Linked DNA regions of Pelodiscus sinensis. The main gene of each other region encodes a partner of the protein of the gene in region 3 in a complex. Links are inferred from orthologs where the notes say so. Each region holds a gene or a part of one and is shown on either strand. Other genes may lie near its edges.

The links.
Region 1: NUP160 (region 3) and CETN3 share a complex: the UniProt entries of both Homo sapiens proteins name them as parts of the nuclear pore complex. The link is inferred for Pelodiscus sinensis from reciprocal best matches to the Homo sapiens genes NUP160 and CETN3.
Region 2: NUP160 (region 3) and NUP188 share a complex: the UniProt entries of both Homo sapiens proteins name them as parts of the nuclear pore complex. The link is inferred for Pelodiscus sinensis from reciprocal best matches to the Homo sapiens genes NUP160 and NUP188.

What each region holds. Positions count from the first base shown.
Region 1 is NC_134716.1:74,604,549-74,608,294, reverse strand, and holds the start of CETN3 (centrin-3), read right to left. Parts: upstream 2,238-3,746; 5' UTR 2,097-2,237; coding exon 2,080-2,096; intron 1-2,079. UniProt on the Homo sapiens protein: Plays a fundamental role in microtubule-organizing center structure and function. As a component of the TREX-2 complex, involved in the export of mRNAs to the cytoplasm through the nuclear pores.
Region 2 is NC_134732.1:11,927,310-11,931,055, reverse strand, and holds the start of NUP188 (nucleoporin NUP188), read right to left. Parts: upstream 2,537-3,746; 5' UTR 2,436-2,536; coding exon 2,410-2,435; intron 2,115-2,409; exon of another isoform or gene 2,072-2,114; intron 2,046-2,071; exon of another isoform or gene 1,967-2,045; intron 1-1,966. UniProt on the Homo sapiens protein: Component of the nuclear pore complex (NPC), a complex required for the trafficking across the nuclear envelope. Required for proper protein transport into the nucleus.
Region 3 is NC_134714.1:129,151,418-129,155,163, forward strand, and holds the start of NUP160 (nuclear pore complex protein Nup160), read right to left. Parts: upstream 2,902-3,746; 5' UTR 2,835-2,901; coding exon 2,738-2,834; intron 1,326-2,737; coding exon 1,217-1,325; intron 757-1,216; coding exon 546-756; intron 1-545. UniProt on the Homo sapiens protein: Functions as a component of the nuclear pore complex (NPC). Involved in poly(A)+ RNA transport.

The DNA.
Region 1 (3,746 bases), on a different chromosome or scaffold from region 3:
GATAGTCAGGAGAAAAAAAAAATAAGGGGAGGTGGAACTGGTGACCAATATGGTGTGCTGGTCTCAACCATGTCTTCAAAAGGCTGGCTTAGGTGATGAGGCCCCTTAGGGTGGCCTGAGGCCTGGCCCAAAATTGACAGTTTCCTTTTACCACTGCAGTTCCTTCTCCTACAGCTACCCTAACAGCTCTGCTGTGAAAAACAACTGCTGAGGATGCAGGCAGAAGTGCCTTTGCTTTTAAGCTGGCACCCACATAGCCGACTGACCCTCCCCCTCTCACAGAGGCAGTAGCACAGGGAGGCACGTGGGAACTGGTGCTCAGGGAGAACCAGCTTAAAACTGATTAATTACTAGTCAAGTAGTCAAGGGAAATTCCATGGACTACTTAACAAGTAAATTAATTGTTATTTAGCATCCTTACTTCGGTGTGCAGGAGGGAGCTGCCACGGAGCAGGCTCTGGACAGGAGGTAGGGTGCAGGAGCAAGTTGGTGGTTCTGGACCATTCTGCATTTGCCTCGATTCCTGGCCAATGGAGGAAGGGGAAAAAGCCTGCAGTTGAGTGCAGGGACAGAGTTTTTCTTAACTACTGGCAATGAATGTGGATCTAGCCCAGGGAGGGGCAATGGTAGAGCACAGATCCACCTCCCCTTCCATCTCTTCCTGGCCAGGGAGAGCTGTCCCAGAATGCAGCGCTTTCGTAATCCTGTCTGGCTTCTTCCCACAGCAAGAAGCTGGGGGTCTTAAAGCTCAGAAAATGTAGTTGTACCTGTGCAAATATATATACACAAGAAAAACCAAGGTTTGCACCAATGAAACTCACCTTGCACTCTTACTATGTTTAGCTGCTGAAGAATTTATGTAGGATTTATGTACTCTAGCCATTGACATTTTTTTTATTTCAGCCTCTCGGCTTCTAAATTTAAGAATGAACTAAAACAGCTCACAGTTAGCTACAGAAGGTGGACTTGGAAAGGATGTTTAGAGCCATCCTTCATAGATTCTACTCTAAAACCAAAAGGGACCACTGTAATCATCTAGTCTGACCACTTATATATCATGGGCCATAGAACTCTCAAAAAAATAATTCTCCGAGCATCTATTTAGGAAAAAGATCAAATTTGATTTAAAAATAGTCAGTGATAGACTATCTACCATGACACCTGGGAAACTGACCCAATTTTACCCACTTCTTCTGCTGCAGGGTAGGTCTGTAAAAGGTTAACTGTGTAACTGTATGGAAACCGATGCTTATTGGTTAGCCATTTAAATGGTTTTACATTCCTAATGTATAGTACTATTTACTGTGCCGATAGTATGTGAAATGCCGACAGATAAGATATCTTAACACTAGATTCTGGATTTATTTTTGATGCCTTACCTGTTCTCGCCAGCAAAAGCAATTTATTCAAAGCCATTCCAAAGTTATGGCTATTTAAAACTAAATGTGTTTTAACAATGAAGTATTCAAAACAAAACAGTTCCAAAAAAAATCTGAATTGTATGGGTCTCGCACATAAACAGGGCAACACCCCTCATTAAATAACAGTCTGTAGAGATTAAGGGGCAGTCTGTCCATGAAGTCTGCATTAATCTTCTCGCAGGATCATCCTGAGCGGCTAAATCTTAGCTAATCTTAATGACTATTGCTCGGGGGCGGTTCCTGTCAGATGAAGACGGGGCAGGACACCGAGCGTGCAGGAGGAGGGCTGCAAGTCACCTAGCTGCTGCCATGCTCCTCGTCAGGCGCTCTGCTCGGCATCCAGCAGGACCCTGGGATTCTTTACTTCCTTGAAATGGGCAGGAGCCCTGCAAAGCCCTAAGCCCACGTCTCGTCGGAGGGGCACTGCCCTGACACAAGGAAAGGCTGCAGCAGACAACAGCTAGCGACAAAGGACAGAGCTGGGACTCCAGCGCCCCAGTATAGGGCCGGGGGAGGGGCACCAAGCCGCCCCCCCAGTGAGCAACAGCGGCTTTTCTCGTAGCCCCCCCCCGCTTTAGCCCACTGGGCCCGCGCGCCCCGCAGCCCGCAAGATGAGGCCTGGGGCCAGACTCCAGCGCCTCTCTCCGCCCGTACAGACCTGAAAGCCAAACTCATGGTTGCGTCCCCACCCCCGGCCGGACTGGGCTTCCCCCGCCGCCACCGGCACTGGACACCAGCAAGGGCGCCGCTCTAGCTCCCCTTGGAAACACGATACAATGCAGTCACTAGTAGCGGTGCTCCCTTCTGTCGCTAAGCTAACTGGCTGAGCACCCGCTTCCTCCCGCCCTCCTCTCTATCGTACCCTCTTATTGGTTAAAATGCTTGCCAGCCAATGTGACTGCCCGCCTTCTATTTAGTTTGGTTGAGGTACGCAGCTTCCGTTTTTACCCAGAATGCCCCAGGGCTTTGCATTGGCGAAGGGACGATTAAATTTCAAAAGCGGTGGGAAATGGGGAGAGTCCCGGATGTATCTTGGAGACTCCGCCCTTCCGTTGTGGCGTCAGTCCACCCTGGCTGAGCTTTGCAGGCCCGCCTGTGAGTCTGCGGCGCTGGGAAATGGTAGATGGTCATGTCTTCACATCCAGACATTACGTGTTCATTCCCTCATATTTGGATGTGCTGTAACCACAAGACCATAATGTGCTACTGGAACAATAATAGAAGTAAATAATGCTCAGCATTCCCCTGCTATCGCACACCTATCCAGTGTAATCCACTGGAAAATGTGTGTGTTGTGGTTCCTTGTAGCACAGGTTGGTCTATATATTGAATAATAGCATTTTTTTTCTACCAGTTCCTTGTTCCACTTCAGTTTTAGAGCTGTGGATTGAAGGTTGCAGTTGCTGGTATCTGAAATAGATCTGTATGAGGGTGAAAATAGGACACGTACCAACTCCCGCCAGGCTGTCCTTTCCCCCTTCCCCCCCAGTGCTGTGCCTCTGTATCAGAGGCAGCAGTGCTGCGGCAGGTGGGCAGTCAGCTCCAATGGAGCCACCTGCCATCCCCTGTTGCCTCCCACAGAGGCAGCACTGGCGAGGGGGTGGGGGGGGTAGATGGAAGCTGGTGCTTGGGAGGGAGCCAACTTAAAAGCCAGCTGCCCTTCCCCCCCTGCAGTGCTGCTGCCTGGGTGGGAAGCAGCTCTGCAAGAGCTGGCACACATGGAAAGCCAACTTAAAAATTGGCTCCTCCATGTACTGGCTCCCACTTGCTTTCTCCCTTCCCCCGGTAGGGGGAGTGGCTACTGTGGAGCTGGCACCCACCTCTTCCTGCTTCTAATACGGAGGAAGTTGGGAAGGTGCATGTAACCATCAGGAGGATTAAGCAGTGAGCCCAGAATTATCGGTAAATAGGTATACGCTAACATCTCTAGGTGAAAACTATGCATACATTTATACAAGTTAGTATGATAATCATTAAATAATTATCGGGATTATTTGATATTACAAAACATGCGATTGTTGTCCCTTTTCACCTGGTCAGCAGAAAGGGCCCTGATGATATTCCAGTTAGGAATAAAAGTTGAAGGAATCTTGTTTATTAACAGGGAACATACAAAGTCCTGTGATTCTGTAGGTAGAATCAAGAATACTGTACAGTCTCCAAGTCTCTTTAGTCAAATCAGACCCAAAAGCGTGCTCTAGCTTTTTCCAGTCACACTGTACCACATGATCCTGCTTGTCTTTCTTGCTTCTCCTTCCCTCTCTTTTTGTCTGTTTTCTGTGTCTGTCTGATCTCTCTTCTTACTTACATCGCTGCCCAAAACAG
Region 2 (3,746 bases), on a different chromosome or scaffold from region 3:
TTCTCTTCCAACTGGGGCCACGGCATTACTGTACTGCAAATAATACATACAAATTTTACTTGGAGTCAGACTTTCTTTCCATCAAGTATGGAGGTGTTACAGTACTTATTTCCAGCAAGTCTCAAAAATATTTCCAAAAACAATGAGAACATATTCTGTGCAAAGTGACCTGGAAAGCAGCTTATTCAGAGCAAAAATTACTATGTATATTTTGTACACTCGAGGAAATGTGGTGTTCAATTAAAAGTGAAAATCAGATCCCAGAATATCACGTTCATGATAAACTATCCCTGTGATGCAAAAAACGAATCTCTGGCCTCAAGTCTTTAAAGCTTCTGGAGGTTAAAACTCTAAAATCAGACTATACTCTATCATATTTTGCAAAGCAAAATTGATAATATGCAATTTTGTGTGTGTCATACACACAGCAATGTTGTACACAGATTCAACCAACATGTCCCCTTTTAAAGATGTGCAACTCTGATGTAAACTGAGATTTCAATTATGCAGCAAAACCCTTAAACGGTTCTATATTTGTTAAATGACACTCACTACTTAGCTTTCTAAGAGAGACAGAGAACAAAAGGAACACAAGGAAAATATGAATTAATTGCTAATCCCTTGTACCTTTTTTTCCAAATATTTCCTGTCACTGCTAAAGAATATATTACCTTTCCAAACACTGAAGTTAGGAGGAACATTATAATTGGATTGTAGTTTACTTAGGATTTTCATGTTAGGGGTTACAAAAGCTTGGTGATTGGTTCCAATAGGCTCCCCCAAACACCAGACAACTTAATCTTGAGTCAGTCTCTCTTAAGCCACAACTTCCACCTCTCACTCAGCTGTACAAACTCTTAATTCACCAGACTAGGATACAAAACTAAAATTAAGAGCAGCCCAAGCTCCAGAGGGAAAGTATTGCTGGTGTGTTTGGGGCATTAAGTGTTTAATAAATTGCTGCAGTGGCCCTAAGAGATCGGGAACCACTTGTTTTGTTATAGAGAGGAGAGGTGGAGGCCTTCATGTAAACTGATAATTTAACTTGGCCATGATTAATGCTAGTAAAATGCTGAAATATATTTAATGTTATTTAGTAAAAATAGATGGCTTCTTGGGGATTTACAACAGTACCTCACCAATTCCCCTTCAAACAATCACTAAGCAGGAAAAGTTCCAAACAGGGATGCATGAGTTAATTACATCATGAGGGGACAGAGCAGGACCATATGGAAGTAGAATACGGCCCCATATGTCATCTAGTCCGCTTCAGCTCTCATATACTTCTATTTCCAAGATCTCCTCAATGGAATAAACGCTTAGGCTACATCTACACTACACTACACCAATTCTGCATAAGAGTTCTTGTGCAAAAGTTCTTGCACAAGAGAGCGTCCACACTGCCATGTGCTATTGCAGAAGAGATGTGCTTTTGCGCAAGAGCCTCCGTGGCAGCGTGGATGCTCTCTTGCACAAGAAAGCTCTGATGGCCATTTTAGCCATAGGGGTTTCTTGTGCAAGAAATTCATGTTGCCTGTCTACACTGTCCTCTTGTGGAAGAGCTCCTGCGCAAGAGGGCTTATTCCTCGTGGGGAGAGGAATAACTCTTCTGGAAGAAGCCCTGTTTTGTTACTTGCTCAAGTACACACGTGCAGTGTTCTTGTGCAAAAAACCTGCAGTGTAGACATAGCCTATATAGATTTCATGACTCTCCTGGAGAACTTTATTCTGATGTCCGCAGGCAGGAGCAGAGAAAGTCGCCTCAGCTCATCTGGACGGGTGGGAAAGAGAGCAGGGATTCCCACTAGCAGAGCAGCCCTAGGGGCTCGGGGGAGGGGGAGTCCCAGTGGAGCGTGGTCACAGGCCCAAGCACGCAGCAGGCTGGGAGCAAAGGGACGCCGGTGCCCGGACAGATTCCATCCCAATGGGGCAGAGAGCAGAGCGCGCGCCAGCCTAGGGCACTCACAGGGCCACTCTATCCGCGAAATGGCTAGCACGTGGCGTGAGCCGCTGCCTGCCGCTTCCACGCAGGAGGCCCCGGGTGCGTGCGCAGCGGGGGGGGGGGGGGTGAGCTCCGCTCCGGGGCAGGACAGAGGCAGTGGGAACTATGCTCCGTAAGTGGCCGCTAGAGCGGGTCACCGGGTTGGGGGGGAGGGGCCTCTCCTGAGGGGGAGCAGTTGAGGATCGGGGTCATGGGGAGGAGCCTCTCGCATGGGCTGGGGTCAGTGGGAGGAGCCTCTTTTGGGGGGAAATTACCAGCCGGGGGCACGGCGGGGCAGGACTTGCCCCCTCTCCCCCTCCTTCCCCAGTTGCCGTTTAAACACGAGCTCCTTGGCCCGGCGCCTAGCCCCGATGCGGGTGAGTGTCGGGGTAGGGGAAAGTTCCCTCAGCGGCACCGCGTTCCCCTACCTCGCGCACAGCCCGCCGACCGCCATCTTCGCTCCCCTCTCACGTGACCCGTTACCCGCCGCACAGCCACCTGCATCACGTGATGCGGACCCGCTCTTCCCTCCGCCCCGCGGGCTCCCAACCACGTGACGGACAGGGGCCGCAAGATGGCGCCGTCCAGTGAGGTGAGTTAGTCAGGGAGCTGCCATGGGCAGATGTATAGAGCGGGCCCTGTCAAGGGCTCCCTGTCGAATTATACTGGGGCTAAGGGAGGCATAGCGCGGAGGCGGCTGGGGGCGGGCGCTGCTGTGCGCGAGAGCCGAGACGGCTGCTGTAGAGCCCTGTAGGTGCCAAGGGCAGGGTAACGGGTGAAGTGTGGAGCGGGAGAAGGGGGCTGCGCTGCGGGGATGTGTAGGGGGCGCGGAGTGAACTGCGAGGGGGCGTGTCCGCTGTGGGGCCAGGTTAAGGGTGTTATAGCGCCTATGGGGCTGTGAAGATGAACTAGAGTGTAGCGGGGGGGGGAGCCTGTCACTGCGAGCTCCTGAAGGAGAGTCCCTTTGTCTCCTACACTAGCTGGGGCAGCGTTTCCTAAACTATGGGCTGTGGCGTGGCTGCCGGGAGGAGAGCGGGGCGGGCTGGGAGGAGGCCTGGTGGGGGGGAACCGGCCGCCGGGAAGCAGGCTTGGGGGCAGCGGGGCTGTCCGGCGGAGATGGAGGGGAGGCGGGCCGGCGGAAGCAGGGGGTGGGGGGCTGGCCGGGGGAGATTGGGAGGAGGAGGATGGGAGAACCAGCCTACGGAAGCAGGGCTGGACGGGGACAGTGGGGCTGGCCAAGGGAGATCAGGAGGAGAAGTGGGGGAGAATTGGCCGGCTGGGAGGAGGTCGGGGGGAGCGGGGGAGATCGGTGGATGGAGGTAGGGTGGGGAACCGGCCACTGGAAGCAGGGCTGGACGGGGGAGATCGGGAGGAGAAGCGGGAGGCGGGACTGACCCGGGCACATGCAGACCAAGCTACACAAATGAGTCTGGCCCCAGGGATTCCATTTTGTCCCCCATACCCTCCCTTGAGTAGTTGCGAACTGCTTGGCTGGTAGACACGCTCAGGCAGCGTGAGCACATCTACCAACCAGGCAGTTCGCAGCTACAGACTGATAAACCTCAGTAATAATAAAACTTACCTAATTAGAAAATACCAGACTGTCCGGTACAAAACCGGACACCTGACAACCCTACCCCTCCTAGCCAGATACCCTACCCCCAATCTGCTCCTGCTCCTGCCTCCAGGAGTGCCCATGCAGCACCAGGTCCCCCAAGCTCTGGCCCAGGCTGGGCGGAGGATGCAGCCTGGTGAAACACTGAAA
Region 3 (3,746 bases):
GTCATATTTCTACAGGCGTCCCAGCAGAAACACATGGGAATCACAGTTGCACAAGTGACTATTTACATGAAGCGTTTGTGATAGAGACCCCTCTGAGCTTGCACTCCTACTCTACATTTCTTGAAATGGTAATGGCCAAAGATTTTAAGCAATTTAGGTCCCCATGTTTAAGTTCCCATGGATTTGGGTGCCTAACTCCCTAAAATCCTTTGAAAGTCCTAACCTTTGTATTCAAAAAGCATATTAGCACAGGCATGTATTTCACACGTACATGCAATATCCAGAGTGGTATCTGCACTACTATTTCAGCCAGTTTGTACGCTAAAAATGCTCCAGGGTTTTTAAAAATACAAGAAAGTGCTCAATAGAAAAACTACAGCTTTCAGATCACTTTCCATCAAAGTTCATTCCAACAACCCAGGCCAGAGCTTCGTTCATGCCAAGACCAATAATTGATTCTAAAAGTTTTCAGTTTGTTTCGAGAAAGTAATTCTAATAAACTATCTCAAAGCAAGCACGCAGTTATTTCCACCTCGACTACTTACACTCCTGTACATGCGAGCAGGGTGCGGCAGGACCAGACGGTGCACAGTCTGATTGGTCACAATCAAGATGACGACGAGATTCTGCGTTTCACACACATGCACCCCTCCAGGTAAGAGGCTGCAGTTCTGGATTTTGAGCCGAATGGCATTATTCAGGAGATTTATATCCAGCGATTCCTCTACCAGCTCCAAAGTATCTCCGGAAGCGGTCCTGAAAACAGGAAAAAGCTTTTTATCTTCATGATTACAAAGCCTTTAGACTTACAGGGCAGGTCTACACTTAGAACACTGGAGCGGCATCGCTGCAGCACTTTCCCAGCAAGAGGGCTTCTCCAACTGGTGGACATAGTGCTGTCTAAACTAGGGGTTAGATCAGTTTAACTGTATTGCTTGGAGATATAGATTTGTCAACTCTTTCTGTATGACACAGTTACACTGACCTAATTTCCTCACATCAACCTAGCCACAGACTCTGCTTATTCCCACTGATTTCTCAGGACCTCCATGCAAAAGCTCAACCCATTCAGCAAAGCAGTTGAGCATGTGCTCAAATTAGGGATGACAACACGTAGCCTGGGCCTCTCAGTTAATCTTGTAGACTACAGGCAATCCCCCCCCCTGCCCCTTGCTGCCTCTGATTCGGATACCCATGTAGTCTCCCCACCATTTACCAATGAATAAAGCGGTTCCGGGTGACTGACACCAGCTGGGCGCTCTCCTGGTAGCAGAACCCACCGGCGCTGTCTGCATAGCGCCCAGCTCCGGAGCCTGCACTGACACCTGTGGGGGGAGAGGGAGAGAAGGGTCAGTGTAAGCAGAGTGGGAGGGTGCAACACTCAGGGGCAGAGGGGGGGTGTCACGAGAGCTGGGGGGGCAGGCAAAGAGGCAGAGTGAGGGTGTCTGAGGAGCGGAGGGGGCTGGCGGGGAGTGCGTTGGGGGGCTGGCGGGGAGTGCGTTGGGGGGGCAGGTTGGGGGGCAGGTGGGGAGTGCATTGGGGGGCTGGAGGGGAGTGCATTGGGGGCAGGTTGGGGGGGCAGGTGGGGAGTGCGTTGGGGGGCTGGAGGGGAGTGCATTGGGGGGCAGGTTGGGGGGGCAGGTGGGGAGTGCGTTGGGGGGCTGGAGGGGAGTGCATTGGGGGGCTGGAGGGGAGTGCATTGGGGGGCGGGTTGGGGGGCAGGTGGGGAGTGCGTTGGGGGGTTGGGGGGACTGGAGGGGAGTGCGTTGGGGGACTGGAGGGGAGTGCGTTGGGGGGTTGGGGGGACTGGAGGGGAGTGCGTTGGGGGACTGGAGGGGAGTGCGTTGGGGGGTTGGGGGGACTGGAGGGGAGTGCGTTGGGGGACTGGAGGGGAGTGCGTTGGGGGACTGGAGGGGACTGGAGGGGAGTGCGTTGGGGGGTTGGGGGGACTGGAGGGGAGTGCGTTGGGGGACTGGAGGGGAGTGCGTTGGGGGGTTGGGGGGACTGGAGGGGAGTGCGTTGGGGGGTTGGGGGGACTGGAGGGGAGTGCGTTGGGGGACTGGAGGGGAGTGCGTTGGGGGGTTGGGGGGACTGGAGGGGAGTGCGTTGGGGGGACTGGAGGGGAGTGCGTTGGGGGGACTGGAGGGGAGTGCGTTGGGGGACTGGGGGGACTGGAGGGGAGTGCGTTGGGGGACTGGAGGGGAGTGCGTTGGGGGGACTGGAGGGGAGTGCGTTGGGGGACTGGGGGGACTGGAGGGGAGTGCGTTGGGGGACTGGAGGGGAGTGCGTTGGGGGACTGGAGGGGAGTGCGTTGGGGGGTTGGGGGGACTGGAGGGGAGTGCGTTGGGGGGACTGGAGGGGAGTGCGTTGGGGGGACTGGAGGGGAGTGCGTTGGGGGACTGGGGGGACTGGAGGGGAGTGCGTTGGGGGACTGGAGGGGAGTGCGTTGGGGGACTGGAGGGGACTGGAGGGGAGTGCGTTGGGGGGGCTGGGAGGAGCAGGCGGGGGGCTGGGATGGGGGCTACTGGCAGGAGGTGTCTGGGGCGGGGCAGGGAGGAGGCTGCAGGGATGCCCCGGGGCTGGGGTCGGGTAGGAGCTGCGGGGGGGGGGGGGCGGCCAGGCAGGAGCTGGGGGGGCGGGGCAGCTGCTTGGGGGCGGGGCCAGGTGCTGGGGGGCGGGGCCAGATGGGGCTGGGGAGCCGATGCGGGGAGGGGGTGTCCCAGGCGGGCCCCGCTACCTGGCGGGCTCAGCGCGAGCTCCCGGACGCGGCGGCGCGGGCCGCGCTCGGCCCCGCTCAGCTCCAGGCAGCTCCGCTCGGCCAGCGCCGCCGCCATCTTCCCTTCCCGCGCGCCGCGCGGCCCCACGGGAAGCCGGGGACGGGACCGAGGCGCAAGGGGCGGGGCCCTCGGCTGAGGCCCCGCCCCTTCCCGGCCCCCTGCGGGAGCCACCCAAGGATTCTTGTGACGTCAGGGGCCGCACCGCGCCACGTGCCTGCAGCGCGCGCCCGGGACTGCCGCGTTCGGCCAAACCCCCCCCCCCCCATGTGGCGCGCGAGGACGAGGATTCCCCCTGCCTGGGCGGGCGGCTCGCGCTCATGCGTGCACTGCCCCCCCCCCCGGACCCTTCTGTCTACAGGCACCAGTCGCCCCGGGGGGTGCAAAGTAGCCAAACTTGAGCAAGCCCCCCCCAGGCACCAGCCCTGAGCATCATAGAGCCCCAGCGCGGGGGGGACCTCCAGAGACCACCACGCCCCGTCTAGCTAAGGGGTGGGGAGCTTCTCTTGAGCCAGAGCCACTGAGCCACCGAAAAACCACTCGAGGGCTGCACTGAGGTGGCCCCCGACGGAAGAAGAAAGACCCTCCTCACATTTCCCTCCACACCAGAGCCTAGGGGGGCCCAGCCTAGTAGATTTTGTGTGCTCCAGCCCCACAGTGGGGCAGCGGGTGGCAGGGGGGACTGGAGGGCCACCACAGGAGCCCCAAGCCTTGGGGCCAGATCCAGGCAAACCGAGGGCCCCATGCAGCCCCTGGACGTTAGGTTCCCCACCCTTGATTTAGCTCCTCCCTGACAGAGCCTCCCTGTCTAACTTGCTCTGAAAGATTTGCGCCAGGGTCTCTAACATCCCAGACCAGTCTCCTAACCACAAGGCTAGAGAGTGCACTATGTGGCTAAACCCCTTTGTTTTTGGTTTAAACCCATTTTTTTTAACCAAAAATGTCCTGGGTTTTACAAAAAATATTTTTTTC